2 linked regions of the Macaca fascicularis genome follow. The protein of the gene in region 2 interacts with the protein of the main gene of each other region in a pairwise test. Links are inferred from orthologs where the notes say so. Each region holds a gene or a part of one and is shown on either strand. Other genes may lie near its edges. The genes, in order: ASF1A and PRR3.

The links.
Region 1: the proteins of PRR3 (region 2) and ASF1A interact in binary tests that used the Homo sapiens proteins (3 or more experiments, as listed by UniProt). The two-hybrid records come from large-scale screens. The link is inferred for Macaca fascicularis from reciprocal best matches to the Homo sapiens genes PRR3 and ASF1A.

Annotation. Positions count from the first base shown.
Region 1 is NC_088378.1:22,822,633-22,827,239, reverse strand, and holds the start of ASF1A (histone chaperone ASF1A), read right to left. Parts: upstream 2,989-4,607; 5' UTR 2,792-2,988; coding exon 2,683-2,791; exon of another isoform or gene 2,041-2,682; intron 1-2,040. UniProt on the Homo sapiens protein: Histone chaperone that facilitates histone deposition and histone exchange and removal during nucleosome assembly and disassembly.
Region 2 is NC_088378.1:142,092,794-142,097,078, forward strand, and holds the end of PRR3 (proline-rich protein 3), read right to left. Parts: intron 2,945-4,285; coding exon of another isoform or gene 2,906-2,944; exon of another isoform or gene 2,504-2,905; intron 2,425-2,503; coding exon 2,134-2,424; intron 1,872-2,133; coding exon 1,765-1,871; 3' UTR 546-1,764; downstream 1-545.

The sequences.
Region 1 (4,607 bases), about 120 Mb from region 2:
TCTGCTTTGAGACTTGAGGCAAAATAACTTACAAAGAAAATTCTTTTCAAAATATTCTATAGTTTGGGCTGGGTGCAGTGGGCTCACTATAATCACAACACTTTGGGAGTCAGGGGTGGGAGGACTGCTTGAGCCCAGGGGTTTGAGACCAGCTTGGGCAACATGGCAAAACTCCATCTCTACAAAAAATTAAAATATTAGCCCAGTGTGGTGGCACATTGACTATGGTCCCAGCTACTCAGGAGGCTGAGGTGGGAGGATTGCTTGAGCCCAGGAGGTTGAGGCTGCAGGTAGCTGTGTTTGCACCACTGCACTCCATCCAGCCTGAGTGCCAGAGCCAGACTGTCTCATTTAAAAAAAAAAAAAATTCTATAGTTTAAGAACAGAATTTTTAAAAGAACTATAATATAGAAGTATGGAACCTATAAGAAGCCTTTGCTAAGTAAACTCAATTTCCTTAATCCACATAGCCTCTAGGTGGAGTATACAGGCATGGCACCTTTTTGAAAGATTCCTTTGCAGCTTCAGTATGACTCAGCTTAAAATATTTTTTAAAATACTAAATAAATGCTCAGTAATGGTGCCTAGGAAGTGAAATATACCACTGGAAATAAGTATATTTTTGATACCAGTACTGTAAAACCCTGATGTGATTCAGCTGGGTTCTGAATGGATCCCAGTTAAAAATGGAACCTGTTTTGGCTTTATGAATGGCTGGTTTCATCTATGCAATGTAAAAGCCCTGTAACGACATCCTGAGTCATCTATCTTCTTTGTTCAGAGCTGACTCCTAAAATGGAAGGCATCACTTGAGAAATACCTGTAATTTGAAGAACTTCTGGTGGTATACTTGAAAAACACTGTGGTGTAAGTTGGAATGGACCGATCAATGGTTTTTCTTTTGTCTATTTTTATATGCAGTTGGCAATTAAAAAAAAAAAATTACTGACTGTTGGGTGTGAAAAATGGGCCTGGTAGCTGCAATGCTTATATTAATAGTAGTATCATACAGATGACTTCAGAGTAATAAGAAAAATACCCCTAAGTGTTATCAATGGCCTATTTGAAATTATTTTAATAAATGAATCATCTTTCAAAATTTGCCCTATATATGTATGTGCATTTATGCTCTATATAGGTTTACCAAAAAAAAAAAAACCCCCACAGAGGGGCACATGTTAAAGTAGTAATTGTGATTACCTAAAGGAGATAGGGGAAGGCATTGAGTACAGAGAACTGTTAACTTTATATATGCCTGTACAACTTTCTAAAAGTTTATTACAATGATATATATTGTTTTATAATTAAAATTAACCTTACATATGATACATACATTTTAGAGATTAAAAACTAGTTTTTAAAATGAAAAGTTTTACATGCCACGATTAGCCAAATCATCTTCAGAGCATTTTAAAAATACACTTCTAGTTCAAAGAAGTATGCCCCTCATCGATGAAGTTAAACTATTTCCCCTTCAAAACTGGCAAATGAAGCACTGAATTACTTTAGTAAAATATAATTAAAGCAAAGATAATTGTTGTTTTAGCTTTCTAAATATTACTAAACATATTAAGAATACGTATTTTTAAGACCTTAAAATATATGTAGAAAAAATACCAGGAATTCTTGGACTGACATGAGGAGTTTAGCTTAATTTCCTAGCCTACGTTTGTGTTTTATGTTTAGGGTGTGTTCTGCATCTGGATGTGGAGTTATTTTACATTTCAACACGCTCTTGAAGAAAGTCTTCTTTCAGACTATTTAGAAGGCAGAGATTAAGTCCTGGAAATTATTTAAGTATCTTATTTCTGCTCTTAGGTTAAATGTAACTTCCTAGCTCAGCTCTCTCTCTCTTCCTGAGATTAGCTTTTCGTCATTAGGAGAAAGGAGTCCACGTTGGTTGGGGAGCCTGCGCGCCAGCATCCCGGCGCATCCCGGGCACCGGCCGAAGAGGACCGGCCGAACAGGACCCGCGGCCCCCGGGGAGTGCCGGCGCCCAGCCCGCGGCGCGGAGGGGCCGAGCCTGCGCCCGCCTCCCCCGCTGGTTGGTCGAGGAAGCCAGAAATCAGCGCGAGGACAGCCTCGCTCTCCTCCCCGAAGCGGCCAGGCATGGCCAGCCCGGAGAGTGCGGCGACTCCACCGTGAGCTCTCGAGAGTTACTGCCTCCCTTTCGCCGCGGGCAGGCGGGCGAAGGGGCGAGAAGAGGCGCCGTGCGCCGGGGTCGCTGGCCCAATTCTCGACTGGGGTAAGATGGCTCCGCTCCGAACTCGCCGGCGCGACCACACGCACAGCCTCTCCCTTCCCAGCCTCCGTGCCCGGGCCCGGAGGGTCGCGGAAGCTGTTGGCGGCGCTAAGCCAGCCCGGCGCGACCCCAGGAGGCGCCGCGGGCGCGAGTGCGGGTCTCCGAGCTGCCCGCCCGCAGACAAAGCTGACAACATGGCTACCTCCGCTCCTCCGCTCAAACAAGTTCCTCGCAAGTTGAGCCCGGCAGGCGCCTGGGCTGCGGCGGAAAGCCGCGCGCGCCTCGGCGGCCGTCGACCATCAACTTGAAGTTTCCCTCCGCAGAGCAGCCCGCGGCCGCCAGGCGCCGAACACAGCCGCCCAGCGCGAGGCCGGGCCCGGGAAACTTTCAACGTCTGCAGCCCGCAACTGACAGCCCGGGCGCACGGGCGCCGCACTCACCTTCAGACAGGTCCTCGATGCACTCGAAGGTGATCTCGAACTGGAACGGGTTGTAGAAAGGAGAAGGGTTATCCAGCACCACTACATTGTTCACCTGAACCTTTGCCATATTTTGAAAAAAACACAAACAATGGGAACTGGGGCTGGTTGCGGCACAATAAAGTCCAGCGCGCGGCCGCTCGGGAGAGCGCAGACCCCCGCCCCAGCGCCGGCCCGACGTTGTGCAGCGGCGACTTGAGAAACTTTTTTTTTCCTCTTTTTATTTACACGGGAGCACTCCACAGTGTTTTGCAGCTTTCCTATTTCACTAAACTACAGCCCATTCTGCTCTGATAAGTAGCAGCGTTGCCCTCGATTGGCTGCACCCGAGCTCTGACCCTCCTCCTCCAGCGAGGGCCTCCGCAGCCAGCAAGATGGGCTCCCGCTCCCGGAATGGACTCGGAAACTTTAACTGCGGCTCCACCTGCTGGTGTGGATTAGGACAAAGGCGGAGAACAAAGTGAGTGGAATAAGGGCTGGGAGGCCCGCGCGGAGGCCGCCGGCGGCGGCGCGGAGAGGGGCGGCGGGGGCGTGGCCGCGGCGGGGAGGCGTGGCCGCGGCGGGAGGGCGCGATTCGGCCGACGCCCGCCCCTCCGGTTGGCTTCGTGTGGGTGTTTTGGCGTTTTTTGTTTTTTTGTGTTTTTTTGTGGTTTTTTTTTTTTTTTTAATTTTTTAACGCTCTTTTTACATCATTGCAACAGCTTTGCCGGCCTTGCTGAATTTAGCAGATGAGAATCGGTGTTTACACTGGGTTAGGTTCAGCTTTCTGTGTATCGGGTAGTAGTTGGAGTAGAGAAAAAGATTGCCTGCAGGGGAAATAAATTGCATGTTATAGACCGATGTCAGCTCGAAAGGAGCAAAGCCATTTTGGAAATCTAGCTCTTGGCCAGTATCTACGTTTAGGCACGACAGCGCCGTTAAGCAACACAAAATGAAGGGCGAGGAATGATTTTCCACACACTGTGCTTGGAAAATTTAAATAGGTAACCTTTGGGCTTACACCTGGGCGTCTTCTTCGGAGTCCAGATCTGGAAAGTCCTAGAATAAGAAAAAAATCACAAGAGGTGTGATCAGTTATACCCTAGGTTACTGCCATTGGGAGAGCATAGCAGGAACATAAAAGGAGAAAATGGAAGTGTCAGGAGACCAACAGGGCAACACACATAATAGAGATGGGAAAAAGAACACGAAGACATACCAAGACATTTGATCTTCAAAAAAATTTCTGACCTAAACCATTAGTAAAGCAAATTCTGAGGAGCCCTTGCTTGCCTGTAACCAGTTGAGATCTGAACTGAGGAAATGTTGATTCGTTTATGCTGTTTGACTACCATTGCGGGGAAAGAGAAAGCTTTAAACACATTTGTGAGCCTAAACCGTTTCTATTACTAGTAAGTGGTATAAAGATTTGTTTTTATTACTTGCTATCCATAAACCGTCACTTTTTTCCTTAAATGTTGTGAATGAAACCACCAAACTTGGCCAAATTCAGAGAGAAAATTAATTCTGAAGTATCTGTTCTGGAAGAGTTTTCTCTTAGGATAGTGCCCAGAATTTTGATTTGTCATTCTTTGGGCATTGTTCATACTTAAGTAGGTGGCTTCTGATGAAACGTTTTCATCTGATGGTCTTTTGAAAGTTAATGTGAGACAGCTAATGTCAGCCCCTCCTACATTTAGGAAGACCAGTTAGAGTGGGGAAGAGTTCCCTTTTTTTGTCATGGATTGAACAGTTAGATATAGGACCTACCAGGAAAGACTTCTTCAAGCCAGTTGTTTGTGACATTAGAGTATTAAGAGTCAAACCATGGTGATAGACACAGATTTTTGTGACTGATAAACCATATACTCTTCATTGTTATTGGTGCTGGTTCTAACACTAGCTAA
Region 2 (4,285 bases):
ACCTCCTGTTTATCCTTTGGAGCTTGTCTCAGTTGCATCTCCTTCCCCGACTCCCTTTATTACACAACTCCGTTTCACCCTGTCTTCTTCCCAGCACTTTTGGCAGGTTTAACTTTACATGCTATTTGTGGTTATGAGAAACCTGTCTTCCTTGTACATTTTAAATCCATTGGCTTTGGCTGTCAGTTATCTCTAGTGCTTAGTATATTGCCTGGCCCACAGGCACTCTGCAAATTGCTGCTGAAAGACTCCTTCATCATTACCACTCCATAAACACAAACTCTGCCAAGTAAAATATTTAAAAATAACTCCACAGACACCTGGCCTTTCCTTTTTCTTACAAAACTTTGCCCTTGAACATAAGGCAGCTTGGTCTGGTTGATGCCTACAGGCCAATGGAACCTCCATTGGTTTTTTCAGCCTGGAAGAACCTTAAGCTTTGTCATTCCCCATCACTAGTGTGTATGAACTAAAGAATGAGCTGACTCCACCAGGTGAGAACAGCTTCATCTGTACCTCCAGAGATGACTAGAACACAGGGATTAAAGAAAATGCTGGTTTCCACTGCATTTATTACTAATATAAAAAAATGTTAAAAAAAAAAAAAAAAAACACCTCATTCTCAGTTCTCCAACAACTCTCATCCCTCCCTCTTGCCAATACAACTCCTGACCTGTTTCCTCAGGGCCAGTTCAAAACTGAACCTGTTCACTGCTGTTTTCACAGAAAACAACCAGTGCCAGGGATGTAGGGGAAGAGGGTTGGAAGAAGGCGACAGTACTGTCCAGGTTCCACCCAAAGATAGGCAAGGTGGAGATTCACAGAATTCAAATGAAAGGACTGGTGGTCTCACAATGACATAGTCTAAGTAAAATGGGCTGGAAGGGATCTAGGTAGGATAAAGCCATTGGAGGCTTTATAAGACATCTCATGGGCCTGTGTCAGACCCAGAGTAACCAACAGGAGAAGAATGGGGAGGGCCAGGGAGGCAGTCTGATGGAAAGTTCACAATTCTTCCATGTTGGGAAGTGGGAAAGTCCAGAGGGCGTCAAGCACCTCACTCGTTTTGGCAGGAAAACTTATTCTAGTGCTGGGAAGTCACAAAAATGCCACAGACACTGAGAGAGGCTACAAGGGGATGCACAGTTTCACAAAGCACGGTGATCATAGACCACGGTGGTGGGGATCATGCTACTGACAGAGAAACTACGAAATCCAAAAGCAGGGAGAGTGGCCTTTTAGGAAGTAACTCTGCACCAGTCACCCAAACTTGACCCCAGGTTAGACAACCTGGCTGAGTTTCATAAGCAGCTGACAACATTGGGGGTAGGGAATGTCACATAAAAAGGACTTAAAACAAGCAGCTAAAAGAAGGGAATGGTAGGAAACCGCTCCAGGGCTCTCAGGAATTGAGGGCAGTACTGGGGAACAGGTGGACAGATGCACAAGAAACAGCACCAAAGAGGTTTCCTGTTCAGCAGTCATTTGATGATGGGAAAGAAGATCCAGGAGGCAACTTAAGGGAGCAAAGATGGGTCCCAAAGGCAAGTCTCTAAAGGCTGGATCAGAAGAAAGCGCATACACCGCGCACCAGTGACGCAACACAACTCTGGACCCCAAACTGGGGAGGTGGTGGATGGGGTGGGTGTGTCACTGACAGAGGGTGTTGGAAGAGCCTCACAGTAGCCATTACAGGGCTACAGAGAAATACATGGCCGCTAGGTCACAGAGAGCTCCTTCCAGCCTGGATGGGAAGGCACAGTCTCACAGAGGAGGTCCATTGACGCCTGGATGGTAGAAGGCACAGAGGTCCTCATATCGACAGTGACCCTTTTTGGCAAAATGTCGGCAGACAGGGCGGTCGGATTTGTCTGTGAACAAGTGAAAATTAAAGTTAAAAATTTGAGCAACAAAGAAAACAAATATGATGAAAAGCAGAGACAGAAGGAGAACTGATTTTCTACCCCCTACCATTTCCAGGTATTTTGGAATGGTAGTTTTTCTCCTGGGAGAAATAACATTCAGGTCTACTTCTGCTTCAAAAGCAAAAAGGAAAGCCCAAAGAAGATCATGAATGATCTTCTGAAAATTAGGTCACTCTGGGAGTTATGGGCGTAACAAAATGGACCTCACCTTCCATAACCTGGGGGTCATCCTTGGGCGGGCAGGTATTCTTGATAAGAGACCAGCTTTTGAGCCTTCGAGGGTTTCTCTGTTCTTTGTGAAAGCTTCCCCTGGTGGGACCCCCATGACCTGGCCCCGGAAAAGGAGGTTCAACATTGACTCCCCACCAACCACGACCATATGGGCTAGACCTGGGGCCAAGGCCTCTCCGAATTGGGCCTCTACCCCAAGGAGGAGGTGGGAGACTCAGCAGTGGTGGAATCAGTGGTCCCCTTGATCCTGGAGGACCTCTGTGAAGAGCTGGAGAGAGAGAGAGAGACAGAGAGAGAAAGAAAGACACAGAAAGGTGACCAATGGGCAGCTGAATCCTGATAAGCCCTGATTTAAAAAATTTTTTTTATTGAAGAACAGCGGTTTTAAAGACACACCAGTTTTAAGTGCACAACCCAATTATCACAAAGTAGACACACTTGAGTTTCCACCACCAGGTGAAGAGATAAAGCCTTATTAGCACCTCAAAAGATCCTCCCCTTGTGCCCCTTTTCCCATTACCCACCCTCCTCCCCAAAGGTAACCACTATCCTGACACCATAGGTTAGTTTTTGCCTGTTTTTGAACTTCACAAAAATGGAATCATACAGTCTGCATTCTTTTATGTCTGGCTCCTTTCGCTCAACATCATGTTTGTGAGATTCATCCAGGTTGCCTGTAGCAGTAGTTCATTCATTTTCGTTGCAGTGTAGTCCCATTGCATGCATACACAACAACTTATTTATCCATTCTACTGATGATGGACATGTGGGTGGTATCCAGTTTGGGGCTATAACGAGAAATGCCACTATAAACATTTTTATACATGTTGTTACACATACGTATGCATTTCTGTTGAGTATATACATAGTAGAGGTATTGCTGGGTTATAAAGTATATGTTATGCTCAAGTTTCACATATAATGCCAAATTTTTTTTCAAAGTGGTTATAGCAATTTGCACTCCCACCAGTAGTTGTCCTATAGCCTTGGCAACACTTAGAATTGTTAGATTTTTAAATTTTGCCATTCTGGTGAGTGTGAAAAGTGGTGGTTATTTTGTTTGGTTATTATTTATTTAATGAGAGATTGGGTCTTGCCACATGCCCAGGCTGGTCTTGAACTCTTGGGCTCAAGTGATCCTCCCACCTTGGTCTCCTAAAGTGCTGGGATTACAGGCATGAGTCATCATGCCTCGTTTTGTTTGCTTTTTATTGTGGCAAAAAACACATAAAATTTACCATTTTAACTATTTTTAAGTGTACAGTTCAGTAGTGTTATGTATATTCATATTGTTGTGAAACAGATCTCCAAGTTTTTGTTCGTTTGTTTTTTGAGATGGAGTTTCGCTCTGTTGCCTGGGCTGGAGTGCAGTGGCGCGATCTCGGCTCACTGCCACCTCCGGCTTCTGGGTTCAAGCGATTCTCCTGCCTCAGCCTCCTGAGTAGCTGGGATTACAGGTGCCCACCACCACACCTGGCTAATTTTTGTATTTTTAGTAGAGATAGGGTTTCATCATGTTGGCCAGGCTGGTCTCGAATTCCTGATCTCATGATCCACCTGCCTTGGCCTCCCAAAGTGCTGGGATTACAGGCGTAAGCCACCATGCCCGATCTCCAAAAGTTTCTTATCTTGCAAAACTGAAACTCTGTACCCATTAAACAAAACTCCCCCTTTCTGTCTTCCTTCCCCCAGCATCTAGTAACGACCATTCTACTGTTTCTTTGAATTTGACTTTATTTTTATTTTTTGTTTTGACAATCTCACTCTGTCATTCAGGCTGGAGTGCAGTGGTGCAATCTCGACTCACTGCAACCTCTGCCTCCCAGGTTCAAGCAATTCTCATGCCTGAGCTACCTGAGTAGTTGGGATTACAGGTATGCACCACCATGCCCAGCTAGTTTTTCTATTTTTAGTAGAGATGGGGTTTCGCCATTTTGGCCAGGCTGTTCTCGAACTCCTGACCTCAAGTGATCCACCTGCCTTGGCCTTCAGTGTGCTGGGATTACAGGTGTGAAGCACCACGCCTGGCCCCTGAATTTGACTTTAGACACCTCAGATAAGCAGAATCATACACTATGTCTTTACTGAACATAAAGTCCTCAAAGTTCATCCATGTTGTAGTATGTGAC